4 linked regions of the Tamandua tetradactyla genome follow. The protein of the gene in region 1 binds, or shares a complex with, the protein of each later gene. Links are inferred from orthologs where the notes say so. Each region holds a gene or a part of one and is shown in the gene's direction. Other genes may lie near its edges.

Region 1 (7,749 bases):
AGGGAAGAATGGAGATTTATTGCTTAAAGGAATATAAGGGTTTGATTGGGGTGATGAAAAAGTTTTGGAAATAAAGAGCGGTGATGGTTACACAACACCGTGATTTGTAGTTATGGCAGTGTATCACAGACTTAAAAATGGTTGAAGTGATCAATATATATAGCAGCACAATTTTTTTTAAAAAGTAGTAACAAAGAAAAAAATATCAGACCATGTCTAAATTTTGTAAAGACAGCTCTAAGACTAACTTCAAGATCAGAGGAATCACTGAAGAGTCACGAGCAGGACATCATTCATGAGGGAGGCTAAGATGAGGAGGGTCTGGATTAATTTATTCAAACATGAAATCGAGGATCATTTCTTATATGATTTTGTATTCCCAGTGCCAAATACAGTAGGTACTCAAAGTTTTCTCGAATGAATAAATAGAGCCTTACTATGTGCCCAGCAGAGGTGGAGAAAGGAGGAAAGCATTCTAATATCTAAAGGATGTAGAGTAGAAAGAACTGGAGTCTGGAAAGGTATAGTTTCAGACAAAAGAACCCACTCCAGCTAGGTTAGGCAAAAAGGAATTTATATCTAGGTATTACATGACTTACAAAATTAATGGAAGGGCTATAGGAGCAGGCCCTGGCAGAACTTCCCAACTCCTAAGCCACAAAATAATATCATGTTTGCCATGATCAAAAAGGTATGGCCATCACTGCAGAAAGTCACCAAAGCAGGTGGCTGTTGACTGGAAAACTCATTGCCTCTGCTATATTTTTCAGCAAAACCTGATGCCTCTAAACGAAATCACAAAGAAAGACAGATGATAAAGATTGAGATGGTATAATCTAGGAACGCCTAGAGTGTATAATGATAATGACTAAATGTACAAATTTTAAAAATGTTTTTGCATGAGGAAGAACAAAGGAATGTCATTACTGCAGGGTGCTGAAAACAGATGGTAATTAATATTTTTAAATTTCAACTTATGTGTGAGACTAAAGCAAAAAATGTTTATTTGGTACAAAATTTATATTTTGACTAGTGCATTTCCTAATACAACATATGTAGATAGTTGGTTGAACATAAGTACGTGAAACCTTGGGTAGGACATGAGATTTTGCTGGTTTGTCCAGAGTGATGCCCCAATGAATCCCAGAGTGATTTGATCAGTGAATGGAAAAGTATTTGCAAAGTCCCCTTCCGGGAATGGTGAGAACGGGAGAAAATTCAACCTCCCCCAATTGAATTCTTGATATTCTCATAAGCAGTGTGAACAACCAAAGCTATAGGCTGAGCCCCCAGTCTTGGGGCTTGTTCATATGAAACTTAACCCCACAAAGGATAGGTCAAGCCTACTTAAAATTAGGCCTGAGTCACCCCCAAGAGAACCTCTTTTGTTGTTCAAATGTGGCCTCTCTCCAGCCAACACAACAAGCAAACTCACCACCCTCCCCCTGTCTACGTGGGACATGACTCCCAGGGGTGTGGACCTTCCTGGCAACATGGGTCAGAAAACCTAGAATGAGCTGAGACCCAGCATTAAGGGATTGAGAAAATCTCTGGACCAAAAGGGGAAGAGTGAAATGAGACAAAGTGTCAATGGCTGAGAGATTCCAAACACAGTGGAGGGGTTATCCTGGAGGTTATTCTTATGCATTAAGTAGATATCACCTTGTTATTCAAGATGTAGTGGAGAGGCTGGAGGGAATGGCCTGAAAATGTAGAGCTGTGTTCCAGTAGCCATGTTTCTTGATGATGATTGTATAATGATATAGCTTTCCCAATGTGACTGTGATCGTGAAAACCTTGTGTCTGATGCTCCTTTTATCTACCTTGTCGACAGACAAGTAGAACATATGGAATAAAAATAAATAGGGGGAACAAATGTTAAAATAAATTCAGTTTGAAATACTAGTGATCAATGAAAGGGAGGGGTATGGGGTATGGTATGCATAATTTCTTTTTGTTTTCATTTTCTTTTTTTGTTGTCTTTTTATTTCTTTTTCTGAACTGATGCAAATGTTCTAAGAAATGATCATGATGATGAATATACAACTATGTGATGATATTGTGAATTACTGATTAAATATGTAGAATGGAATGAGCATATGTTAAGAAGGTTTGAGTTTCTTTCTTATAATTTTTTTTTAATTAAAAAAAAAAAACCTGATGCCTCACATTCAGCTTCTCTCCACAATTAATCCAGTTCCAAATTCAATTCTTAGGAAAGAATTGGAATAGTTTTTCGCTTTCTAGCCTCTTCCGTAAGAGAAGGCACACTAGAAGCAGGAACGTGTTTTGAGCCAGCCAAATCCACAATATTTGCCAAACTTGTACTAAACAGCCTAGTGTTGCTGGGGGAAAAAAAAGTATAATCTCCAATCTCCAATGGGTCCTTAACTCTGCCTGGTAATCCTACATTTCTCTAGTAAACACATTCTCCCACACTCTACAATGACTTTCAAATCTTCTTCAATCTACTCAAACCTCTAACCTACTCTCACTCTAAGCATAAAATTCCACCTCTCACTTTACAAAGAAAATAAAAGCCATGAGAAAACAATTCATCTTACCAGTACCAAACATACAATCTCTATCTATACCTTCATTTCCTCCTTCCCTTCTGTTAAATGGATAATGAATCCATCTTCCTAAGGCTGCTTTCTCCACCTATACTTTGGATCCCATCCCCTCCCACCTTCTCAGAAATTTTACGCTATTGGTGACCCAATTTCTCTCTTGAATATTCAACTCTGTCCTCTCAATTGGATCCTTGGTAACTCCTCATCCCCTTTAGCTACCACATCCTCTCTAAAATAATGTCTAGATTGATTGCCTGGATCCTTGTCTCATATCTGGCTTCCATCACAAAATAACTCTTGCCAAGGTTACCAAGAACTTCATAATAAAGACAACAGACTTTTTTTGATCCTCATGCTATTTAAATTCTGACACAGATCATTCCCTTACTTCTAAAAGAATATTCCTCTCGTTCTCTTGTAGGTTCATCCTCCTGTTCTTGGCCACTAAATGTTGGAACTTCCCAAGGCTCTGACCCATGTGATCTTACCCACACATACTACTTAATTATCACCTAGATTACTCCCAAATCTACTATGTTCAACACAAGCATGGCTTCTGCGCTCCAAAGTTCAACTGCCTCCTAGATGTCACAAATGAATCCCTCCATAAAAAACCCAAGGAACAAAACTAACAAACTAGTTTCTAGTCATTTTCTAGCGTTCCATTGAACACTACAAGATATTCTAATGCCTCACTGAATGGTACTGCTACGTATTCAGCTGCATGAGAAACCTAGGGCTTATCTTTGCTTCCTCTCTCTTAAGTTTCAGGAATCCAACCCATCACCAGTCCTAACCATTTTACCTCCTATATATCTCTAGAATCTGTTCAATTCTCCACAGGTCCACCAAGATATGTCAGTCCTCATTGCCAATTATCTCTCACCAGGACCACTGCAGAACCTAAGTCGTCTATCTGAATTCACTACGGCTCACCTTCAATCTGTTCACACCACTGAGACAAAGGGGTCAAGCCACCGCCCCTTCCACACATACAGCCCCCCCCACCCACCCAAAAAACCAACCCTCAGTGATTCCCATCTCATCTTAAGATAAAAGCTACAGATCTCTGCAGGGCCTAACCTTCTAACCGCCTCCAATTTCATCTTGTACCACTCTCCCCTCGTTATCTTTGAAGCAGTCACACTGGCCTCTTTGTGCCTTTTGTCAGTCACCCATGTAATGCTGTGGCTTCCTCTCTTCACCTAATTATTTGGAATTCAGCTCAGGCATCTCTTTCTCAGAAAAGGCTTCCTGCATATTTAAGCACTCAAAGCGTCAGATAGCTGTCCGAGGTAGCACTTATTTTACATTAACTAAAGAGATGTTAGATTGTTTAACATCTGTTTTCTCCACCAGACTCAATCTCCCTGACGTCAGGGACTATTTGATTCACAACGTCTCCCAAACGCACAATAAATATTAGTTGAATGATTGAGAAGAGGACCTAGTTCACAGATGTGAGTCTCAAGCTTCTCAATATAACTGCGCTCTCGAGAAGCAGAAGGCGGATATTTTCTTCATCTGTCTCTCTCAGCGGCATAGGGGAGACTCTAATGAAAGACTGTACAGTCAGTTGCAGAAACAAGCCTCACCTCCTCAGACAGGGAGTCTAGGAGACAGGCCTTATCTTCCTGGGAGCGCCCCACACATGACTGGACACAAGTGGGCGATTATCCAAGTCAGTCGTCGAGGTCCCTCCAACACCCCACCCGGCAGCTACAGGGTCTGGGTCCTGCCGCCAGACAGCCCAAACCTCGGCTCCCGCCAGGAAGGAGAGCCCATGCTACTACTTACCAGGGATAGAAATCAGGACCCTCAACTGAGAAGGGCCATGCTCAAACCCCACAACCAAAACGCTGCCTCCAGACTCGGGTAGCCACCCCCTAGCTTCCTTATACTTACTCGGCGTCAAGTAGAAGACAGCCAGCCACGCCATTGCGCGAAAAGCCGAACCCAGTCGGCGCGTTTATACCCACAAGACACAGCGCGCGTAGGCGGGACTCCAGGTTCATCCGCCAACCCTGAAGTCGGGCATTCGTGATGTTAGGAAGAGCTGCCCAATAACAAGAGACTATCCCGAAAGCGACGCAGCCTATTGGGAGATGATTGGGTTCTCCAAGCCGGAAGTTCTAAAGGAAAGGCTAAGTTCGAGCCAATCGCGCTGTGTGGAAGCGTGCCGCCTCGGTCCCTACTGGCACTGAGAGGAGCGGCTGCCGCCATGATAGAACAGCAGAAGCGCAAGGGCCCTGAGTTACCACTTGTCCCAGTCAAGCGGCAGCGGCATGAGTTGCTTTTGGGAGCGGCGGGGTCGGGCCCCGGAACCGGGCAGCAGCAGACGACGCCAGGAGCTTTGCTGCAAGCGGTAAGAAAAGGAACAGGTGGCCTTCGCTGCTCGGCTTCTCTTGCTCTCTCCTCAGAGCGCCACACCGAGTGATGCCGCATTGCGGGAGAGGAACGAGAATATTGACCTGGAGTTAAACTCTTTAAAAGCGCCCTATACCCTACAGATGCTCGATACGTGTTCCCGCGTTTGATGCCCTTTTTCAGCATCTCGACCGCCCTGGAGGTGGCAGTAGAATTGGAATGAAGAGCCATAGGCTCATAGCTGGCCTCAGGGCCGCGGCTTAGGCTTCCAAAGTTTTCCAGGGATCCGGGATAGAATAAACATTTGGTAGAAATTTGTAGAGTGAATAAATGCGTGAGTGAGTGAAGGGAGAATGCGATGAAATGAATGTTATTGGCTCCCTTAGGGACCGGGCAAGTTGGTTTCCCTCTTTCAGCTTCCCTTTATTTCTCTGTACTAATATTATGAACTGGATAGTACAGTTAGTATTCATGGAGCCCTTGTGCTGAGTGCCTTGTGTATGTGATATCCATTCATCTTGGTAACAGCCTAGGAGTTAGGAACTATTATCCCATTTTGCAAATGGAACAACAAACTCTTATCAAATAAAGTGATGGAAATAGATCTTGAACCCAGGCAGTCTGACTCCACAATCCATGCTCTTAACTGCTCTTGTAACGTGAAGAAGTAGTGGCCACTTCTCCTCTGCTGCTGTGAGAATCAGATGAAAGAATATATGTACTCTCTTTTTTTTTTTTTTCAAACCCTCAACCAACCCATCAGCGAATCCTGCCAGAATTGCTATTTCTATCATCTCTATTGCTTCCTCTTGGTCTAAGCTATTATTTGTCTCATCTGAGATTTTGCAGTATGGTCCTAATCAGTCTTGACTGTTTCAGCTCCTGCTTTCTACAATCTGTTCTCAGTCCAGCTTTCCATTTCACTCAGAGTAAAAACCAAAAACTTCACAATCTTTTGCCCACTTTTCCCTCTACCTCTCTGATACATCAATCTTCTTTCCTTGCTCTGGTCTCTATGCTCCTGCCTCAGTGCCTTTGCATTTGCTCATCCCTTTGTCAGCATGTTCTTCTAAATGCTTGCATGGTTTACACTCTCAGCTCTTCAGTTTTGTGTAAATATCACTTTTTCCGTGAGTTCTTTCCCGACCACAGTATTTTAAATTGCAATATCCCATACTCTCTATCCCACATTCCTCCTGTTTTTCCCTATTGTACATACCATTGTATGTAATATATATATATTTTAAACTTTTCTCTTTCCCATTCCACCAGAATGTAAACTCTATTGATTTTATTCACAGATGTTTTTGCAGTTCCTGGGCACATATTTTTTTTAATGAATAAATAAGCTGGAAACCACTGAAGAGATGTGGAGATTATTGTTAGTGTGCCTGTTCTTCCTACCAACAAATTAGAGCATCAGCCCAGGTTTAGAAAGTGAATTGCTCAAGCCTAGGCTTTGTGTCCAGGGCCATAATCAAATCCTACTTTCTGCAGGAGTCCCTACCCTGCAGGGTTGTTGTTAAGCTCAGTTCTGTCGTTCACTCATTAAATGCACCAGACATTGGGAAAAGATTGTTGAATGACACAGGCAAAGTCCCTGCAGTCATGGAGCTACTGTTCTAGTGTGAGAAGCAGACGAAATATATAAACAAATATATGAGAAAGGTAATTTCAGATGGTGATTAAGGAATATGGATGTGTGTGTGTGTGTGTGTGTGTGTGTGTGTGTGTGTGTGTGTATGGAATATATATATAAGGAATCACCTTATATTAATATATAAAGTGGTATGTACTGTATGAAGTACAGTAGGTGATTGGAATACAGGTGGGGAAGAGTCAGGGGAAACTACAAATGCAAAGATCCTGCAACAGAAATAAGTTTAATGTTTGAATAATAGAAATGTTGGCTATGGGACAGCAGCAGAGGGAGGGAGAGAAAGAATTAATGTAGCAGGTGATCATTGGAATGTTCAACAGAAGAGTATCGTATTGAGACATGACAAACCATGAACCAAGTATAAAAAAGTTTTTTGCAGCAAAAAAAAAAAAAAAGAGGCATGCATGATGTGAAAAGAGCTGAAATCCATTCCATCCATCGTTTTCTCTTCTCCCTCTCTCTCTCTTCCTACTCCCCGCCACCACCCTCAAATTTTTCAGCCTCCTTTGCTTATATACAGTGAGTACTCTGTGTTTCTGTCTTTTGTTTAGGGGCCTCCAAGGTGTTCCTCTCTTCAAGCCCCAATCATGCTGCTCTCCGGACATGAAGGGGAAGTGTATTGTTGCAAGTTTCACCCCAATGGATCCACTTTAGCATCTGCAGGATTTGATCGACTGATATGTAAGACAGTTTTTGAATCTGATGTAATTGCACTCTACCATGTAGTGATTATTTTTTATCTGTGATCAGTGTAGATTGATTATCTCTGAAAATGAGGAAACATGACAAACTACATTGCTAACAAACTAAAGTGAGGTTGTGAGAATTCTAAATGATCTTGGGTATAGAACTTGGGGTATGTGTGGTAAATACAGAAGAGATTATATTACTAATTGGAAAGTAAGTTCTGGTTTGGGAATACCTTCCTCATATAGGCAAGTGTTGAGCTGATTTAGCAAGACGAGATCTCCAACTTTTTGTAATGAGGACAGAGAAAAGTTCTTTTCCCAAAGTTGTGAGGCCCTCCTGGGGATCCATACTCACAGTCCTAGCAAATAGGAAGGAAAGGGGATTCTAGAATAGCAACTGCCTTAGATATTATTAAGATCTATTGCCAGATTCTTAACTACCAGTCAGGAATACCCATTT
Region 2 (7,049 bases), on another chromosome or scaffold:
GATTCATAAGACACTAAGTATTTATTTTAGATAATTTGAAAACTACCCCAAAGCTTAAAGAAGCTACAGAAGTCACTCTTATTCCCATCCCCAGAAATAACCACTGTTAACATGTATTTCCCATGGGAACACATGTAAATACAGACATGTAGTTGTTTTTACATAGTTGGGACTGTCCCATTACACAGTTTCCAGTTTTTTTAGTTGCCTCTGGAGTGTGAGTTTCTTCCCATGCCATAAAAATACCTTTAAATTCAACGACGATGATGTAAAACATTGTGTCACATGGATGGAACATTACTTACTTAATTATTCTTGTTGAAAATTTTCAATGATGGGGAGATTTCTTGGCTCTTGGTACCTATTATTCCCTGAGTCAGCTGTGTCATTGCCAAAAAATGGCTTGTTTTTAATTTGTTCAAAAATATTGACAAAAGCAGGAGGATATATTCCATGGAAACAAGTTCACAAGACAGCAATAAATAATGTAAAATGCAAGAGTCCCCCCTCATTGGTAAACACTGCTAAAGCTTTGCGTGTACCAAAATGTTCACCCATGCATACATACACACCTAACTACGCTGCTAAATTTTTTTTTTTTTTTAACATGGGCAGGCACCGGGAATTGAACCCGGGTCCTTGGGCATGGCAGGCAAGCACTCTTACCTGCTGAGCCACTGTGGCCCGCCCCTATTAAAACTTTTAACCAAAGTAGGACAACTCTTTAATTGTGAAATATATATACAGAAAAAAGCAATCAATTTCAAAATACATTGTAACAGTAGTTATAGAACAGATTTCAGTTTGGTATGGGTTACAATTCCACAATTTCAGTGTTTCCTTCCAGCTGCTCCAAGATACTGGAGACTAAAATATCAAAATATAATCATTCAATAGTTATATTCATTTGTTAAATCCTAACATCTCTGTTTAGTTCCTCCTTGTCCTTTGATCCTTCTCCCAATCTTTACGGATATTTGAGTTATGCCCATTCTTTTTTCAAGCAGAAAGGGCTGGTGATAATATGGGATAGGGGGACAGAACTGGTTGATGTTCATGGACAAACCAGCTCCTCAGGGTTTCAGCACTTATCTGGCCTAGGAACCATCTGGAGATTGTAGGTTTCTGGAGAGTAAATATAGCATGTGCAACTTTAGTAGGATCTCAGATAGAGCCCCGGGTGTTCTTTAGGGTTAAAAGGAATGATGTTAGTTGGGGTTTGGCAGACTGTGGCAATTGCACTATCTAGCTGATGCTTGCATTAGAGTAGCCTCCAGAAAAGCCTCTCGACTCCATTTGAAGTCTCTAAGCCACTGATACCTTATTTTGTTACATTTCTTTTCTCCCTTTTGGAAAGGATGGCATTGTTGACCCCAAGTGCCAGAGCCAGGCTCATCCCTGGGAGTCATCTCCACATAGCTGGGAGACTTTCACCCCTGGATGTCACATCCCACATAGGGAGTAGGGTAATGATTTTCCTTGCAGAGTTGCGCTTAGAAAGACAGGTCACATTGAGTAACCAAAGAGATTTCCTAGAAGTAACTCTTAGGCATAGCTATAGGTAGGCTTAGCTTCTCTGCTGCAGAAATGAGCTTCATAAGAGCAAGCCTCAAGATCAGGGACTTGGCCTATTTGGGAGTCCCTAGTGTTTAAGAGCGCATCTGGGGTTTCTAGGTGGGAAAGTTTAATAGTTCCATATTTTTTCTCCTGTCCTCAAAGGACTTTGCCAAGACTTTTTAATTATCTGCCCAAGATGCTCTGGGATATATCTGGACATTACGTTAAGCTATACAGAATTACAAGCCCTTGTTCCCATCTTGGGCTCCACGTTTGGGTCGTTTAAATGAACTTCATCTACTGTATGAGATCAAAGGAACAAAGTAGGATCGTTGTTCATACCCTTTACAGCAGCCTGCTTTTTTCTATTAGTGTGCCATCTTGAACACCTTTACTTATTGGGTAGTGGACCTAGCCCATTCCCTTGAAAGCTGCATGGAGCGGATCAATTCAACAATCTGTTTTCCTGGTGTTTATAACCGTAGCCATTGCTGCACTGAACAGCCTTCCACCCACATCCACAGGAAAGATTTCTGGAAGTAGCAACGAGTCCGAGAGTGGTGAAGCATCCCACACAGGCTGGGGCTTTGGTGGCCTCGTGGCCCACCTCACGGATGTGTCTTGGATGTCTCCTGTGCAGGACTCCTGCTTGTAGTGGTTCCCCCAACACCAAGGAGGCTCCGCCCCCACCTCCGAAGGCCTCCATCTTCACCCCGCCTGTCCTGCTCAAGTTCCAGCCTGTGCCGAGGCCCAGCGAAGACTCCGAGAACGACTTTGGCAGTGCGGAGTTTGTGTCCCATGACAGGAGCCCCTAACCACACTTCCCTGCAGACAGGAGTGAATAAAGTTCCCGTGGAGGTGCCTAGCTCGTGCTGGGGGCTGGGGAACCGGGATTGCCAGGGGTTGTTCAATCCCATGTGCTCCTCCAGCCTGGAGAGGTGGACAGGCTACTGTGAGCTTGAGGCCCCTCGACCCGAGCCTGCACAGTTGGTGGCCAGTACGACTGCTGAGTTCCCTTGCATGGGGATTCAGCCTTGTACCTCTGAAAAGGAAATGAGGGGTTTTCCTACAAGTGGCCCTTGTACAAGCCTTGCCAGTGCACAGGTTTAGAAACTGGGATGTGGGAAAATGAGATCTGGTGCGTCACTTTCCAGCTTGGCACCTTCCTAAGCAGTTTCAAAGCTGTGGGACTCATCACCTCACAGGCTGACCTTAGAACCCAACTTGCCTGTGAGATGTGAGTCCTCTCTAAATGCTTAATTGAGCCCTTGTGTGTGTTTCACACTTTGCTTGGGAGTGGAGATAATAAACCAAGCAGTTTAGGTCCCCTGCTCTTAAGAAGCTTATTTACATCCATGCTTCTGAGGGCATGGGCATAGTGGAGGGGTGGTAAACCAGTACACAGATCAGATTCCTCCGAGATGCCAAATTGTGCTAAGTCCTGTGGGAGCTGAGATGGACATGTCTGGGGAGCTACCTGGGATAGGGTAGTGTCCTTTGGGTTGAAATCTAGAGGGCAAAAAGCAGCCCTGAAACAAAAAATGGCAAGGACAATCAGTTTGGGGTTAATTTCCATTCAGCACTCATCAAAATCTTCTCTCCAGGGTTGGTAGCATTGGGATGGGATGGGGGGGCAGGCAGTTCTTGGGATTCCTTGGCTTTTCCGTCACATGGCCATGTCCTCTCCTTTCTCTTCTGGCTTTCTGCTACTCTCTATACGGTCCATTAAAACCTATCCTGCTTCAACTGGTCACAACTTAACTAAAAATGACAATTTCAAAAAGCTCTATTTACAATAGATTCACACCCACAGCAATAGGATGCAGATGAAGGTATTTTCTTCTGGGCTACGTAGTTCTACCTTCCACAGGGGTACTGGGGCAGATGGTAGTAGCGAGGAGAGCCAGAGACTGTGGTAGGGAGGGGGGAATGGAGATCGGGCCTTGACCGGCCATGTTAAATTTGACATCAGTGAGTACCCAGGGGAAGATCAGGAGTCTGGAGTGGGGGGACAAGGAATACACTTGCCAGGAACCAGGGCTAGACGAGCGGGAACCTGGTATACGGAGGCCCGGGGCTGAGGCTAGGGACGCCTCCAAGTGCCGTCTGGGTCGTGGGGAAGGGTCCGGCAGGAGACAAGGGAGGGGCCGGTGAGAGCTTGGTGGCCTCCCGCCGCTGGGTCTCAGAGGGAGAGGGGCCGATCGGGTGGGGAGAACCGTAAGTGAGCGAGTGTGGACGTCGCTTTGAACGCGCCAGAGGTGGAGGGGAGATAGGGTGAGGCTGCTGGGACTGGAGGCTCCGGGAGGGCCTTTTAAAACGCCCAGGGCGGGTTCGAACCGGGAAGGGACTGAGCCAGGGCCGGGCAGGCGGGAGAGAGGACCTGGAGAAGACAAGGCTTCCCAGCGAAGGACTCATAGCGGGTACCAGGTTCCGAGCTCCGAGGGCGCCAAAAACCTATATCCCGGCATGCCCCGGGCCCACTTCCGGGGCAGGACCGCGCGTCCCGGAAGCAGCTACGGAAGCTCGGCCTAGGTGCAAGCTCTCCCGCGTCTTGTCACTCCTCCAGCCGGGCCTGCCGCCACCATGGGGAAGCGACAGCACCAGAAGGACAAAATGTAAGTTGGGTCGCAGCTGGGAGGGGCGCCCCTCTCAGCCTCAGCGCCAAGGCCCGCACCTCGCTCCCCTCCCCTCTCACGGGCGAGCTTGGGTTGGAACCCAGGGCCCACCGCGAATGTCACCTCCTCCCGGAGGCCTCCCCGTCTACCCCGGCGCGGTCGTGGCCCCAGCCGCCGCCGCCTCCGCAGAATCTCCGCTCCGAGGCGGTCAGCTGCGGGGGTGTGCGGGAACCTCGTCCCCTTTCTCTTGAGAGCTTTGCCTCTGAAGTTCGTCTCTGTCGCATCTACTCTTCTCCTGGTTCACGCCCACCCGCGTACGCACTTGCTGCAGAATTAAAACTAACCAAACTTGCTGTGCCCCATGTACACTTCCAGCTGCCACCGTGTTTCCTTGAATCTTTTGGTAACACGATGTAAGATACGTGTGTCTCCTTTGCTGTTTTCCACTTTCTCCTGAAGCCACCCCAGTTGGACTTGAGCACCTTAGAACTGCTCTTGTCAGGGTCTCCCGTGACTTCCATCTTGCGAAATCCAGTGGTCTTAACCTCACCGTTCATTTGGTTGTACTTCTCAGTAGCCTCTGACATCCTTTACCATTGCCTCTGAATCCTTTCCTTGGTACCTAGGACACACGTGCTCTTTGTTTTCCTTCAGTGGTCTCTTTCAGTCTCTTTTGTTGGCCTGCCTCTGTCTCTCTCCCAGAGTCCTGTTGATCGGTGTGCCCAGTTTTTCTTCTCCATTTTTGTTCCCCCAGGATGATTTCACCCGGTCATCCTAAGGTGATCCCAGTCGTGTCAAAATCAGCTGCCCACCTAACGTCCCCATTTGGAGGGCTGATAGATATCTCAAATTTAATATGTCCCCAAATGGAACTCATTTCCAGCCCCTGAAACTGCTCCTTTTCCATTTTTCCTACCTCAGTGGTCATACTCTAAGGTCAGAAATCTTGGAGTCAGCCTTAATGTCTCTTTCCCTTAGCTCGCTCAACTCTGTTCCCCAGTCCCTTGGCAAGAATTGCTGACTCTTGGAGGAACTGACCACTTCTCACTTGTCCACTGCTCCAACCCCTTCTTGGAACTTTGTAGTCACTGCCCGATTGTTTTTTTCTGTTTCCTTTCTTTCTTGTCTCCCTATACACAGCAGCCAGAGTGATTCTTTTAAGATTTTTGTAGATCATAGCAGGGCCCTGCTCAAAGTCTTCCGACCACTTTCCATCCTACTTAGAACAGATCTGGAGTATTTCCCATGGCCTGCCGGGTCATTTGTGGTCATCGCTTTCACCTGTGTCACACTCAACTGTGCTACTCTTCTCCAGTGACATCTCCTTTCTACACCTAGCTTTTCCCTGCACCCCCCACCCCCTAGCTTTGGTGAGATGCCTGGTGGGCCCTCTGCCTGGAAAGCTCTTCCCCCAAATCTTCATGTAATTAGCTCCTTCTTATCATCAGGTGCTCTGTTACCTTCAGTTCATTTCCTTCAGGGCAAAGCTGGACTGTTTACATTTGTTTACTCGCTTGTCTGTGAACCCCCCAGTCTGTTGTGTTCATCACTGTGTGCCTGGCATATAGTTAGTGTTTAATAAGCATCTGCTGAGTGAGGGAATGATGGCGACTCTGCTCTTCATGCAAAGGGGATGGTGGTGGTAACATTCTCCCTCTCACCTTCAGGTACATCACCTGTGCTGAATATACTCACTTCTATGGTGGCAAGAAGCCAGGTAAGGCCAGAGGTCCTTCTGTAACCTCCCCCCACCTAGCTCTTTATTAAAGAGTGACATCTTCACTCTTCTCTGGGACTGTAAAAATGGACAAGAATGCAGAAACTGTAGTAGACAAATGAATTGAGAAGCCAGGCAGCTCACAAATCATACTGAGACATACAACAAAGCACTTAATCTCAGTGGTGATTTTTTTATAAGTTTAAAATAATTGTCTCTATCAAAGAAAAATCAAGAAAACAGTAATACTCAGATTTATCCAGGCAGCAGTAAAGAGGGCACTGTCATACATTGCTAATGGGAGTGGAGGGCACAGCTGCCTCAGAAAGCAAAGCACTAGAACAGGAGCCTTTGTTAGGCTTGTGATAGAACCTGTTGTAGGAATTTAAACAAGTGTGTGCTCATGCCTCTCTGAGGAACGATGTGTTTTGGTTTTAGCTTTTAAAAGTGTTTTAATCCACAGCAGTTACTTCACTAGGTAATTTAAATGGCCTTTTTCTTAAAATGTAATTGAATTGTTGGTGGGAGTGAGTAATTGAAATTTGTTTATAGGAAACATTTTTTTTAATTTGATTTTAAATAGATATCCCACAAACAAACTTTCGTCGTCTACCTTTTGACCACTGTAGGTAAGATCTTTGAAAATTTAATTTTCCCTTGTCTTTATTCTCTAATACTCAGTTATCTGAAAATAAATCTGATCCTTGGAGTTCCAGATGTGGGCTCTGTCTGTGTTCACTCACCTCAATCTTCCCCTTAGTGCGAGAAGGTGTATTCAATAGTGACAGCTGCTAGTAATTATTTTCTGTCTCGTGTGCCCATGTTTACTTGTTTTGTCGTTTGAACTTCTTTCCTACCCTCTGAGGCTGGAAGAGCCTGTTAACCCTATTTCACCGTGGAAAAAACCTCAGCTTAGAAGGGTGAAGTGCCTCCACTAGGTGTCACATCCAGGAAGTGATGCTGCTGAGTCTAATCCCAACTCTGGGCTGTGCCTTTGACACTTTATTTATAGTCCAGATTCTAAGTAGTGACAACAGCAGTAATAGTAAAAATACCTAAGGCTCTTCTCCCCGTCACCTGGGAACTTGGATCAACGAGAGGGGGTGGGGAGGCATCCGGTTGCAGAGCCATTGAATGCTTCCTTCTGGCTCCGATAAGTA
Region 3 (6,977 bases), on another chromosome or scaffold:
ACTCAGCATTATGTCCTCAAGGTTCAAACATGTTGTCATATATTTCTGGACATCATTTCGTCTTAGTGCTGCATAATATTCCATCGTATATATCACATTTTTTTTATCCACTCATCTGTTGATGGGCACTTGGATTGTTTCCATCTCTTGGCGGTTGTGAACAGTGCCGCTATGTACATCGGTGAGCAAATGTCTGTTTATGTCACTGCCCTCAACTCTTCTGGGCATATACCAAGTATTGGTATTGGCAGGTTATAGTGCAACTCAACATTTAGTTTACTGAGGAACCATCAAACCGACTTTCACAGCAGCTGTACCATTATACATTCCAACCAGCAGTGAATAAGTGTTTCAATTTCTTCACATCCTCTCTAACTTTTGTAGTTTCCTGTTTGTTTAATAGCAGCCATTCTTAAAGGTGTAAGGTGATATCTCATTGTCATCTTAATTTGCATCTCCCTTAAACCAATGAAGATGAGCAGCTCTTCATGTGCTTTTTAGCAACCTATATTTGTTCTTCAGAAACGTGTATATTCATATCCTCTGTCCATTTTATAATTGCGTTGCTTATTCTTTTTGTTGTTGAGCTATGTAATTTTCTTTATGTACACAAGATATCAAACCTTTATCCAATATGTGGTTTTCAAAAATTTTCTCCCATTGTGTGGGTTGCCTCTTCATCTTTTTAACAAGGTCCTCTGAGGCACAGAAGCTCTTGCTCTTAAGGAGTTCCCATTTGTCTATTTTTTCTTTCACTGCTTGTGCTTTAGGTATAAAGTCTAAGCTGCTACCTTCTATTACTGGATCTTGAAGATGTTTCCCTGCATTTTCTTTTAGAAGTTTTATGGTACTGGCTTTTACATTTAGTTCTTTAATCCATTTTGAATTATTTTTTATAGGGTGTACAGTAGAGGTCCTCTTTCATTTTTTTAGCTATTAAAATCCAATTCTCCCATGCCCATTTATTGAAAAGACTATTCTGTCCCAGTTCAGTGTATTTGGGGACCTTATCGAAGATCAAGTGTCCATAAATTTGGTGGTCTATCTCTGCACTCTGGATTCTATTTCATTGGTCAAACCTTCTGTCTTTGTGTCAGTACCATACTATTTTGACCACTGTGGCTTTATAGTAAACTTTGAAGTCAGGAAGAGTCCCCCAACTTTGTTCTTCTTTCTTAGGATATCTCTAGCTCTTCAGGTCACTTGCCCTTCCATATAAATTTGATAACCTGCTTTTTCAAGTCTTCAAAGTAGGGTTGTTGGGCTTTTGATTGGTATTGCATTGAATCTGTAGCTCAGTTTGGGTAGAATTGACATCTTGATGACATTCAACCTTCCTATCCATGAGCAGGGGATGTTTTTTCTATCTATTTAGGTCATTTTTTATTTCTTTTAGCAATTTTTTGTAGTTTTCTGTGTACAAGTCCTTGGCATCCCCTGGTCAGGCTTCTTCCTAGACATCTGATTCTTCTGGTCAGTGTTTTGAATGAATTTTTTTCCCTTACGTGCCACCTAAGATAGATCATTGCTTGTGTATAGAAACATTACTGATTTTTGTATATTAATCTTGTATATCACCAATTAGCTGAATTTGTTTATTAGTTCAGGTAGCTTTACTGTAGATTTCTCAGGGTGAAAAACCCCTTCACTTTAATTGGGTGATTTTATAGTATGTGAATGTGGGGGATTGAATCACATTGCCCACAAAAGACGTGCTCAGATCTCAATCCATGTTGCTGTGGGTGTGAACCCATTTTAAAATAGGACCTTTTGAAGATTTTATTATTAGTTGAGTTGTGGTCAAATCTAATCTGCGTTCGTCTTAATCTGTATGACAGGCGGCCTTATAAAGAAAGGAAATACAGATGCAGTGAGTCAGTTGAAACCTGACCCACAAGAAGCCAGAAGAAACTCCAGAAGAAAGCATGGCCTTGCCATCTTGATTTTGGACTTAATAGCCTTCAAAGCCCCAACAATAAATGCTTGTTGTTTAAGCCAAACCACTGTGTGTTATTTGTCATTGTTAGCACTGGCAAACTAAGACAGTGAATTATAGCTCATGAAAGCTATTTAGAAAAATGTAAACAAAATAGTTTCAATAAATTATTTGGGGACCTTTGAGCCTTATGCATTAGCTTAGAGCACTGTTAATCAACTGCTGGTGACAAGTAAGGTCTGTTTCATTTCTGAAAAGCATCACTGCTGGGTGTCTGTGTAGGACTAGTGAGGCCAGAGTTGGTGACAACAATAAGGGCTGAGATTTCTCCAGTACACACCACATCTCCACGCACACAGATAACCTTGTCTTTTCTTCCCCTTTCACAGATGAGCAAACTGAAGGTTAGAGAGGTTACTTATCTGAGGCAGAGCTGACCTGGAACCCAGCATCTTTCTGTAGCCAAAGTCCACACTGTTAACCACTATGCTTGTAGTCTATCAATGCCTCTCTGTACTTGACTCAACTATAAAATGAAAGAAGTTGGGTTAGATGATCTCTGAAAAAAAAGATCTTGAGTCATACGTACGTGGAATAGATTCTATATTATGTAATAAAAACTTAATCTGTCAGTGAATTGCACTCTATGGATTCTCTACTAAGAATGATTCTAATATTTAAACTGTGTCCTGCTGTGAACCTACAGAATAGGTCCTGCTGAAGTTCAATGGGCACTTAACATGAAAAATGAAACAGATCACTCCAAACAGCAAAATGGTAACAATTTATTAGGGAATTTACAGTCCAGAAAACTGGTCCTAGGTGGCTGCAGGACATTCAGAGTAGTGCCCTGTGCCACCCAGCAGATTATAGTGGTTATATAGGGCAAGAACTAGGAAGGCATAGAGTCAAATTGGGATTTGCAAGATCCTAAATATGCCTCTTTGAAGGTACTGATAGCAGGAGTGGTTCTAGTATGGATAGCTATTGTGCCAAGGAATGTGCACGAGCACCTTAAGATACATCTACAGTTGTGGGGAGAGGTTCCTTGTTTAGGAATTTATGTCTACTCTAGTTTATAGCCTCACAAATTGTCATTAAATAACATAGCATTTTAGAATATATGCTTCCAAAGGAAACTGAATACCAAGTCTTGGTTTCATTCTCCTGCTAGTGGTCTCCCCACTTGGTAACACAGCACATCAGAAGAAAGTTTTGAGCAAGTTTATGTTATGTGCATGAGCTCCTTTACAAATATATATGTACATAAGACATGCACAAAGTATAAAGAAGAAAAATTATGAAACACTTAAATAAATGTATATATTAACAATACAGAAAATACTTCAGCTCTTCCTAAAAATGTCCATAATTTTTAGAACAATAAAATTGATTAAGTTGCATCCTTGTTTTTGAAAATCCTGGTCTAGCCCTGCAATAGCTTTGGGAAGGCAGGGTTCCACTGTAAACCACTAAGATCCGTGGCTTTTTGGGCAGCTTCAAGTGCTTCATTGGCGGTGCTGTATTCTTATCTTCTTTAAACTTTTTTTGTCAGTTTTTTTTTTTTTACATGGCCAGGCACTGGGAATCGAACCCGTGTCCTCTGGCATCGCAAACAAGCTGCTGAGCCACCGTGGCCCGCCCTTCTTTAAACTTTTAATTTCGGAATAATTTCAAACTCACAGGATAGTGGCAGCTGTCTGTGCGGAAATTTTACTCAGTCCTGTCCACCAAGATGTTAAAAACAAAATTTCAGTCTCCCTGACGTCAAATATTTGTGCATATATGATATACACAGTTATGTATATGATAACTAGCTCGATAAAGCCCTGCTTTTTCTAAAGATGACTATTTCGATGCTTTTTTAAAAATGTCCCAACTCTCGGAACGCACGTGGGCTGACAAAAGCCAGGCCCGGCGGCACCCAAGAAAGGGCGGAGCAACCCCGGGGCCCCCCTTCCCCAGGCCGAGGTCGGCGGGGGCGCGCACGCACGCGGGGTCTCGCGCGCGCACCCGCTACGTCAGCGCGCGCACGCAAGAGGTTCCGGGCACAGCCGCGCGGAGCAGACGCGGGTGGCTGGCGAGACGCTCCGGTGTGGTGTGAGGTGCGCGCGGCCGGGCGCTGGGGCGCGTGGTGTGGGAGGAGAGGAGGGCCGAGGCGGGGTCGGGGGAAGGGAGGGCAGGAGGGGAGGGCCGAAGGGGTCGTGGGGAAGGAAGGGGAGGGGGGAGGGCCGAGGGGGTCGTGGGGGTCGTGGGGAAGGGAGGGGAGGGCCGAGGGGTGCGGGGGAAGGGAGGGGATGGGGAGGGCCGGGGGTGTCGTGGGGAAGGGAGGGGAGGGCCGAGGGGTACGGGGGAAGGGAGGGGAGGGCCCAGGGGGTCGTGGGGAAGGGAGGGGAGGGCCGAGGGGGTGCGGGGGAAGGGAGGGTTGAGAGGGGAGCGTCGAGGGGGTCGTGGGGAAGGGGAGGTCGCGCAGGGCCGCGCGCCGGGGTCCCCGTCGTGGGCGAGTCGGCCCGGGAGGCGGAGGCGGGGGCTGGGGCCCGGGCCGGAGCCGGCAGGGTGGCGACGCGGCCTACCGCCCGCAGGTGAGCGCGAGGTGCCGCAGCCTCAGGATGTCGTACATGCTCCCGCACCTGCATAATGGCTGGCAGGTGGACCAGGCCATCCTGTCCGAGGAGGACCGCGTCGTCGTCATCCGCTTTGGGCACGACTGGGACCCCACCTGCATGAAGATGGACGAGGTTCTGTACAGCATCGCGGAGAAGGTGCGCTCCGGGTCCCGCAGCCGGCGTGGGTGGCTCCTAACCCTTGTCTCCTGATGTGCAGACACGCCCCGCGGGTAGAGAGGACTGGGCGGCGTGCAGAGCCGTGCCTCGGGAGGGGAGGGTGTGCTCCCTGAGAGGGCACAGAAGGCTTCATCTTTTTCCGGGAGAAGTTTACAGGAATTTCCTCAGATTTTAGAGGTTCATGATCCCTTCCCAAATAAGTGAATAATTTGTACTGATTAGATGTGTTTCAAAATTTACATCTGCATTGCAATGGGGAAAAAAAGAATTTGCAGACTTTGGCTAGAGCATTGATGCTTTAAATAGCTGAGTTAAAAAGGATGAGCTCTTTTTTTGGCACCTTGTTTATTTTAGTTATAAAACAGAACCCTTATGTTAATAACAGTAAAGACTTCTTTTTGTTTTGGTAATGGTTTTTTCCCTTCATCATAGCATGTTCTTTGTAAGTCACCTGATTTATATCTTTGAATGATTGAAATTCAGGTGACATTAGGAGAAAAATAGAATTGTGCTTTTTTAGGACTGGTTTCCCTGATTTTTAATGTTAGTGTACTGGGGAGTCTAGTACTTAACTTGATGAAGACAAAGGTGCCATTGTAGGGCACTAGTACATACCCAGGGCTTTAGTTTTCTGTATTTTCCTGATTGGAATTTTTAGGTTGATTTTTATTTAAGTTTTTGAAATTGTAGCAGTAGGGCAAGAGATAAAGCTATGAACATGTTCATAAATAGTAAAATTATCGTTTCATAAATCATTTGAGATGGTCATTCATTTTACTGGAGAGTAAAAGTAATATAATCACTGATACGCTCTTGTCTTTGACGCAGATAGGAGATGCATTAATGATGGCTGGGTTTAAATGACTGCTTTGAAGAACTAGTAACAAGCTATAAATATTTTATCGAGGAAAGGAAAAATTATTGGCCCTCCATTTGTTCATTTTTACTGCCCTGTCTTGTCAGAAGAAAAGAGTGAGGTAGTGGTGTTGCTTTGTGAACTTTAGGAACTGTTCTTATGTTTTAGAAGTCGTAAGTATCATTGAAGTGCTTGTTAAAATGCATCTCAGAGATTCTGACTCTATAGGTCTGGGGTGGGGACCAAGAAACTGCTTTTTAAAGAAGCTCCCCAGGGAATTCTGATATGACTTGATCACGGGCCACACCTTAACTTCACTGAAGGTAAGAGTTAGGGTAGGAGTGCTTTGAGATATTGAAGCGCATCAGCAGGTTCCCGGAGAATTTCAGGAGAACAGCAGAACTCTCAGAAACTGGGGTCAGAGGTCAGGAGCGAGGGCACCAGCGGGTGAGTACACAACGAGTACACATCGCTTGAGCACTGCTGGGGCAGAGCAGAGGGCACTGGGAGCCATCCCTCAGAAGCTCAGCCTTGCTGTGTTGACTGAAATCATTTGGGATCTGCTCTTCTGCCTTGCAGCTGGCGGCGTAAGCACCAGGTGACACCCAGGCCCTCACTGCTGCACCAGGTGCGGCCAAGGTGCGGCCAAGGTGCTGGAGGTGCAGGGCCTCCTGGTCTTAGTGTCTGAGCCAGTGCGAGGCGTTGGTGTGAGGAAATCACCCCTTCCGGTCAGTCTCATCTGAGTTGTTGTCCTGGTGCCTCAGGTACCCACAGGTGCCTGTGGTAGCAACCTTCTTGATAAGGACAGTTCAAGTGGACTCACTTTTGAGTAATTTCCTTTGGTCTTTTAAATGATCATTTTCTTTTGTCTCAAAATTTGGATTTCTTTTTTAATAACTTTCAGTGATTCAGTATAATTATTTGAAATGTATCTGAAGACTATTAATGTTTTTTTTCTTTTTAGTATTAGGGCAAAATATGAAGTCAGAATTCTGTAAGTCCTTTTTGGGGAAGCTCAACAGGAATTTCTGAAATTTAAGATTTTAGTATGAAGAATAATATAACTGTATTTAAAATCTCCCTCTGCAGAAATGGCAGATAATGGGGGAACTTCCTCATCTTTAACAAGCCCTGTGTGGATATCACAGCTGTTTTAAAGTGAGTAAAAGTTCCAAATCTTTCAGGCTAGACTTGATTATGCTGTCTCTTTTAGAATGTGGTATATTGACTTGCTGTTTACACAGTACCCACTCCCAGCTTGTGCTGGGTTAACTTTGAGATGAATACTTCATGAAGGAGGTTAGTCTGAAGAAGTGGGAGGTATAAAAATTTTACAGATGTCTGGAATTTTGCTGTTAATAAGTATGGGACAGTTTATTTGGTGGAGTGATATTATTTATTT
Region 4 (6,864 bases), on another chromosome or scaffold:
TAGGGTAAGATATTGGGTAATTGGAGCTAAAGGGATACAGATTGTGCAACAGGACTGAATATAAAAACTCAGAAATGGACAGCACAGTACTACCTAACTCTATTACAACTATGTTAAAACACTGAATGGAGCTGAGTGTGAGGATGATAGAGGGAGGAGGGCTGGGGGCGTAAATGAAATCACAAACAAAGATAGACAATAAACATTGAGATGGTGTAATCTAGGAATGTCTAGAGTGTAGAATGATAGTGACTAAATGTGCAACTTTAAAAAATATTTTTGCATGAGGAAGAACAAAGGAATGTCATTACTGCAGGGTGCTGAAAATTGATGGTAATCAATATTTTAAAATTTCAACTTATGTGTGATACTAAAGCAAAAAATGTTTGTTTGGTACAAAATTTATATTTTGACTAGTGCATCTCCTAATATAACTTATGTAGATAGTTGGTTGAACAACATAAGTACATGGAACTTTGGGTAGGACATGAAATTTTGTTGGTTTGTCCAGAGTGATGCCCCGATGAATCCCAGAGTGATTTGATCAATGAGTGGAAAGTATTTGCAAAGTCCGCTTCAGGGAATGGTGAGAACGGGGAAAAATTCAACCTCCACCAGTTGAATTCTTGATATTCTCACAAGTAGTGTGGACAACCAAAGCTATAGGCTGAGCCCCCAGTCCTGGGGTTTGTTCATATGAAACTTAACCCCGCAAAGGATAGGTCAAGCCTACTTAAATTTAGGCCTAAGAATCACCCCCAAGAGAGCCTCTTTTGTTGCTCAGATGTGGCCTCTCTCTCCAGCCAACATACCACCCTCCCCCTGTCTACGTGAGACATGACTCCCAGGGGTGTGAACCTTCCTGGCAACATGGGACAGAAATCTTAGAATGAGCTGAGACTCAGCATCAAGGGATTGAGAAAAACTCTAGAATGAGCTGAGACCCAGCATCAAGGGATTGAGAGAACCTTCTCGACCAGAAGGGGAAAGAGTGAAATGAGACAAAGTGTCGATGGCTGAGAGATTCCAAACAGAGTCGAGGGGTTATCCCGGAGGTTATTCTTACACATTAAGTAGATATCACCTTGTTATCCAAGATGTAATGGAGAGGCTGGAGGGAACTGCTGAAAATGTAGAGCTGTGTTCCAGTAGCCATGTTTCTTGATGATGATTGTATGATGATATAGCTTTACAGTGTGACTGTGTGATTGTGAAAACCTTGTGTCTGATAATCCTTTTATCTACCTTGTCAACAGACGAGTAGAACATAAGGAATAAACATAAATAATAGGGGAAACAAATGTTAAAATAAATTTAGTTTGAAATGCTAGTGATCAATGAAAGGGAACGGTAAGGGGTATGGTATGTATAATTTTTTTTTGTTTTCGTTTTATTTTTCTGTTGACTTTTTATTTCTGTTTCTGAATTGATGCAAATGTTCCAAGAAATGATCATGATGATGAATATGCAACCATGTGATGATATTGTGAATTACTGATTATATATGTAGAACGGAATGAGCAAATGTTAAGGATGTTTGTGTTTCTTGTAGTTTTTTTAATTAATTAAAATTTTTAAAAACCACATAAATGTGATAATCTATGTACATTTTAACTGCATTTCCCATTTTAACCACTTTCAAGTATACAATTCAGTGGTATTAATTACATTCACAAAGTTGTGCTTCCATCATCATCTAATACCAAAATTTCTCAAGACCCCAAACAGAAACTGTACCCATTAAGCATTAACTCTCTACCTGCTCCCAACCTGTGATATACTTTCTGTCTCTATGAATCTGCATATTCTAGTTATTTCATATAAATGAGATCATACCATCAGACTGTGTCCAAGGCCTTGGTGAAACAGCCATGGACCAACTGAGTGCTCAGGGGTAAGCAGCTTGAGGTCAGCTCTGTGTTGGTTGATTGCAGGGTGGTCGGTGGGGATGCCTAGCCAGGCAAGTGTCTGAGCCCCTGGGACCCTCAGTTTCTTCTTCTGCAAAGTGGCAGTCTGAGGCCCTCTCTCACTGCAACCTCATTCCTCCCTCCACTGCAGCAGCAGTCTGCCCAAGGGCTCTCCATTCTGGTCGATATGTTCAGACACCCCTGTTCAAACTCAACCCTAGACCAGGCTTCAATCCCCATGGCCAGTGTCACATAACACCCCAGGGTCTTCCAAGCCTTCTCTAGTCCAGGCCTCCACCTCCCCTCCACTCTCCAGAGCACCTGCCCTTCCCCATTTTTTGACTCCCCCACCCCCAGTATGCTCAGGGACCCAAATTTCCCCGCGACCCCACAGACTCCAAGGCCGTGCCTCTTCCCAGCCCCACCATACCCTTCCGTTTCCCCAGTAGGGACCGTCTTAGGCAAAGATTCACCGCAAACTACAGAAGGCCGACTACGTGCAAAGCTCTGCTGAAGGCAGCAGAGTTCCCTGGCAAACTTGGGTTCCAGTTGTGCATCTTCATCTTTAGTTGTTAGACCCTAGACGGGGCCCTTACTTCTCCCAGACCCTTGTTCCCTATCACTTAGAGGAATAAGCGGGATAGGAACAAACCGTCGGTGGAAAGAGGAGCCCAGCCCCGGTGGTCAGTAAACAGAGGCAGCGCCTGAGGCCGAGCGAGGCGGAGTGCACGTGCGGGCTCACACAGCCAGGCCTCCTCGCCGGCCGCCAGGTAGGTCACCGCACGGGGCTGGGCGCCTGGCCGGGAGCGGCCGATCTCAGCTGCGTCCAGGCCCAGGCCGGTCGCCAAGTGAGCGTGCCCCGGAGCTCGAACCGCGTCGCTGGTGGCCCTACGTCCACCCGGCCGCCTCCGGGCCTTGGAGCCGCGCCGGGAAGGCGCCACGGACCCTAGGGGAGGCCGAGGAGGTACCAGGGGGAGGAAGAGGGGAGCGCGCTCTCTGCCCGCGCCCTCGCCCGGCCTTTCTTCCTGCAGGTTGTAAACGCAGCAGTTCTGGCGCCCAAGTGGCGGCGAGCAGCGGCCCAGCTACCAGGGCTGGGCCCGAGACCCCCTACCCACACCTACTCTAGGGGTCCGCGCCCCAGATCCCGGCTCACTCCGGAGTCTCCGGGGAGACGGGCGCGGTCGGGCTTCCCGGTGTCCCTGAGCACACCCCGGCAGTCAGGATTTGGGGTGAATGGGGGCTTGAGGAGGAGCTCGGGGCCTCTGCAGAGAGAGAGTCTGCAGTTCCGGGGAATATCTAGGGAATCGGGGCCTCCCAAGGGATTTGTGCAGGGTGGCTGAGGACCCCAGGATATTTGGAAGCAGATTCGGGGATCCCGGGTTTCCTGGTGTCGACATCGCGTCTCGGGACATCTTGGGGACATCAGGGTCTCCGGAGATATTGAGGGGGGCGCATTTGGAGCCCCAGGGAATTGGGGAGCAGTCGTGGACCTCCAGAAGCATGCAGCGAGTGGTTGAAGGTGTCCAGGAATAGTACAGCGAAACGGCTGTCTCCAGGGGCGAGTGGAGTTCCACGGGCATACCCGAGACGGTCGGGGGGCGCGGGAGAGGTTGAGGGGCAGTCGATGTCCTCCGGAACTATCGAGGGAGTGAGTGGTCAGGGGTGTCCGGGGACCTCGAGGGGCATCTAGGCTTCGGACGTCTGGAAGCATGGGGGTGTTCCGAGGCTGAGGGTGGGCGCTGACCTGTCCCCCTCCCGCTCAGGCCGCGGCCCTGCCCCGCCCGCGGGCGCCAGCGCCCGGCAGCTCCTGGCGCGGCTCGACGCGCGCCCCCTAGCGGCCCGAGCTGCGGCGGACGTGGCGGCCCTGGCGCGCAGGGCAGGAGCAACATTGCGCCTGCGCCCCAAGGAGGGTGAGTGACCCTGCCGCGGTCCTCTGGGGAGGCGGGGAAGAAGGGGAGCTGCTGGGTGCTTTGGAGGCGGCAGGACCCAGATCGTTGGGTACTTCCCCTGGTTGGGGCCCAGAGGCGTGAGTTGAGGGGGCGGGGCTGGCATCGCGTCCCAGGGGCGGGACCCGGTGTTATCCTAGATTGTTAGTGTAGGAAGTGCGCCGTGCATGGGTAATTCCAGTAGGCAATGCCAGAACTGTAAGGGGGGTGGGCGGGGCGGGCCTGGATAATTATTTCCGCCAGCGGGTCTTCGATTGTTGTTTTCTGAGGGGGCGGGTGCTGGAGGGTTATTGCGGTGAGGAGATAAAGTAGAAGAGGGGCGTGGAATGCCAGTTAAGGAGCAGACGGTGCTTGAAATGTCAGGCATTTTTGAGGTTCAGAGGGCGGGCCTGGAATGTTTGGGAGCCCAATCCTGGATTTTCACTCTCCCAGGTGTATCTAAGGGTATTATTTGAGGGGATGGGATTTGGGGCGTTTTAGACACGGGCTGTAGTATTATTCACATAGCCCTGTCTGGGATTATGAATTAAGAGGTGGGGTCGATATACACACAGTGGAATACTTTTCAGCCCTAGAAAGGAATGAAGTTCTCATACATACTACAACGTGGATGAGCCTTGAAGACGTCAGTTGAGTGAAATAAGCCAGACGCTAAAGAACAAATATTGTATGATCTTATTATATGACATAATTAGAATGTAGGCTGCCAGTGGCAGGGTGGGGAGTGGGGAGTTAAAGGCTTACACTGTACAGTGTTTGTTTGGAGTGGTGGGAAAATTTGGTAATGGTGATGGCATCCCAGTACTGTGAATGTAATGAATAACACTGGTTTGTATACTTGCGAGTGGTTGACATGGGGAGTTTTAGCTTGTATATGTATTGCCACCATTAAAAATACAACCCGTAGAACTGTACAACACAAATTTTGAACCCTAATATAAACTATGGAGTTTATTTAATAATATAATTATAATGTTATTGGTTCATCAATTGTAACAAATGTTACAATATGCAATGTTAACAATGGGAAAAACTGGGTGTGAAGGGATGTGTATGGGAACTCTACTTTCTGCATGATTTTTCTGTAAACCTGCAACTGGTGTTCTATAAATACATACATATTTTTTTGTTGTTGTTTTTTACATGGGCAGGCACCAGGAATCAAACCCGGGTCTCTAGCATGGTAAGGGAGAACTCTCTGCCACTGAGCCACCGTTGCCCGCCCTTAAAAATATGTATTTTTAAAAGTGCTCTAAAATAAATTAAGTGCTCTAAAAATAATTGTTTTAAAAACTTTATGGTTTTTTTGTGGTGCAGACCTAGGATGATTACTTGAGGGGTGGGGCCTAGATAGTTCTTTAGGTGGGCAGACCCGGATGTGAGTTCAGAGGGTTGAAAATGGCATGTTAATTTGTGGGGTGGGGTTTCCGTGGTTTATCCAATTGTACTCAACTGCGTTCTTATTATGTTCTATCCTTAGTTGCTATCCTGCTGGACTCTGCAACCATCAACATCATGGTTAGTTGCCTGCCCCGAGTCCGCTTTGCCATCCGCGTACAGGTCCCAGCATGACAAAGACAGTAAGGTCTGAGAAACAGTGAACATTTTGGGGGGAACTATGACAGGCCTAGGGTGCTGGAGACTGCTTTATTCAAACTTGGGGAGGGGGCGGAAGATGAGGATCCTAGCAGCTGAAGGAGAACAGTGGACAGGGCCTCACTGAGAATCCCGGGCAAGCCCTGAATATAGAGAATTGAGTAAGAACCCAATTGGGTAAGAAGGGCAGAGTGGCTAGGTTCAAGTGTGACTCTCCACCACCAGCTTCTTGACCTTTTATACTTCATTTAATCTCTGTATGAAAAGCTTAATTGCCTGAATATAAAAGTAATAGATTAATATCTTAAGGATGAGAACTGTGTAAAGTCCATATTTTTCTGTCGTTATCTCTTCTTTCTGACTTTAAAAATTTGTAGAAATTGGGGATGCGAGGGTACGTCAGTGGAAGAATTCTGGCTTACCATGGGGAGACTGGGGTTCGATTCCTGGCCCATGCACTTCCCAAACAAAGAAAACAAACCAACTAAAATAAACAAAGTTCAACAAATGATGCTGAAATAACGGGCTACTCACATGGAAAAAGAATGAAATGTGACCCTGCCATACAGCATACAAACAAAAAAAATTGTAGAAATTTGATTTAACATATATGAAATCATGGTAATGTTTTAAATCCTACTTTTTCAAAACTATTCTAACAGCTTTATTGAGCTATAATTCACATGCCATATAATTCACCCATTTACAGTGTACACTTTGAAGGTTTTTAATATATCCGCAGGGTTGTACAATCATCACTGCAATTGTAAATTTAGAACATTTTCCTTTCCCTAAAAGGAAACCCATACCTACTAGCAATCACTTCCTGTTCTCTAACTCTAATTAGCCCCCCCCAAGCCATAGGCAACCAGTAATATATTTTCTGTCTCATAGATTTGCTTATTCTCAACACTTAATAAAAATTGACTACTACAATATGTGGTCTTTTGTAACTGGCTTCTTTCACTGAGCATAGTATTCCCAAGGTCCATCCATTTTGTAGTATGTATTAATACCTCTTTCCTTTTTATTAGTCATTAATATTCCATTATATGGATATACTACATTTTATTTATCCATTCATCAGTAGATGGATATTTGGGTTGTTTCCACTTTTTGGCTGTTATAAATAATGCTGTGAACATTCATGTACAAATTTTTAAGTGGATGTAGGTTATTTCTTTCGGTGGAGTAGAATTGGATCATATAGTAACTCTATGTTTAAAATCTTGAGAAACTGTCAAACAAAGTCATCATACCATCTTACAATCCCACCAGTAATGTATAAGGCTTCCTATTTCTTCAGGTCCTCACCAATGCTTTTTTTTTTTTTTTTTTCATGTGGGCAGACACTGGGAATCGAACCTGGCATGGCAGGCTAGAGCTCTTGCCAGTGAGCCACCATGGCCCACATT

What was found.
Region 2: SNRNP40 (region 1) and PPIL2 share a complex: the UniProt entries of both Homo sapiens proteins name them as parts of the minor spliceosome. The link is inferred for Tamandua tetradactyla from reciprocal best matches to the Homo sapiens genes SNRNP40 and PPIL2.
Region 3: SNRNP40 (region 1) and TXNL4A share a complex: the UniProt entries of both Homo sapiens proteins name them as parts of the U4/U6-U5 tri-snRNP complex. The link is inferred for Tamandua tetradactyla from reciprocal best matches to the Homo sapiens genes SNRNP40 and TXNL4A.
Region 4: SNRNP40 (region 1) and GPKOW share a complex: the UniProt entries of both Homo sapiens proteins name them as parts of the minor spliceosome. The link is inferred for Tamandua tetradactyla from reciprocal best matches to the Homo sapiens genes SNRNP40 and GPKOW.

Annotation. Positions count from the first base shown.
Region 1 is NC_135328.1:194,558,396-194,566,144, forward strand, and holds the start of SNRNP40 (U5 small nuclear ribonucleoprotein 40 kDa protein), read left to right. Parts: upstream 1-4,731; 5' UTR 4,732-4,794; coding exon 4,795-4,938; intron 4,939-7,151; coding exon 7,152-7,281; intron 7,282-7,749. UniProt on the Homo sapiens protein: Required for pre-mRNA splicing as component of the activated spliceosome. Component of the U5 small nuclear ribonucleoprotein (snRNP) complex and the U4/U6-U5 tri-snRNP complex, building blocks of the spliceosome.
Region 2 is NC_135331.1:26,294,566-26,301,614, reverse strand, and holds the start of PPIL2 (RING-type E3 ubiquitin-protein ligase PPIL2), read left to right. Parts: upstream 1-4,031; 5' UTR 4,032-4,140; coding exon 4,141-4,172; intron 4,173-5,839; coding exon 5,840-5,889; intron 5,890-6,472; coding exon 6,473-6,518; intron 6,519-7,049. Other genes in the region: uncharacterized protein LOC143682994, read left to right, coding at 2,198-2,372. UniProt on the Homo sapiens protein: Has a ubiquitin-protein ligase activity acting as an E3 ubiquitin protein ligase or as an ubiquitin-ubiquitin ligase promoting elongation of ubiquitin chains on substrates.
Region 3 is NC_135344.1:2,383,130-2,390,106, forward strand, and holds the start of TXNL4A (thioredoxin-like protein 4A), read left to right. Parts: upstream 1-3,956; 5' UTR 3,957-4,041; intron 4,042-4,518; 5' UTR 4,519-4,545; coding exon 4,546-4,698; intron 4,699-6,664; exon of another isoform or gene 6,665-6,733; intron 6,734-6,977. UniProt on the Homo sapiens protein: Plays a role in pre-mRNA splicing as component of the U5 snRNP and U4/U6-U5 tri-snRNP complexes that are involved in spliceosome assembly, and as component of the precatalytic spliceosome (spliceosome B complex).
Region 4 is NC_135353.1:121,047,287-121,054,150, forward strand, and holds the start of GPKOW (G-patch domain and KOW motifs-containing protein), read left to right. Parts: upstream 1-3,842; 5' UTR 3,843-3,905; intron 3,906-5,333; 5' UTR 5,334-5,371; exon of another isoform or gene 5,372-5,438; intron 5,439-6,864. UniProt on the Homo sapiens protein: RNA-binding protein involved in pre-mRNA splicing. As a component of the minor spliceosome, involved in the splicing of U12-type introns in pre-mRNAs.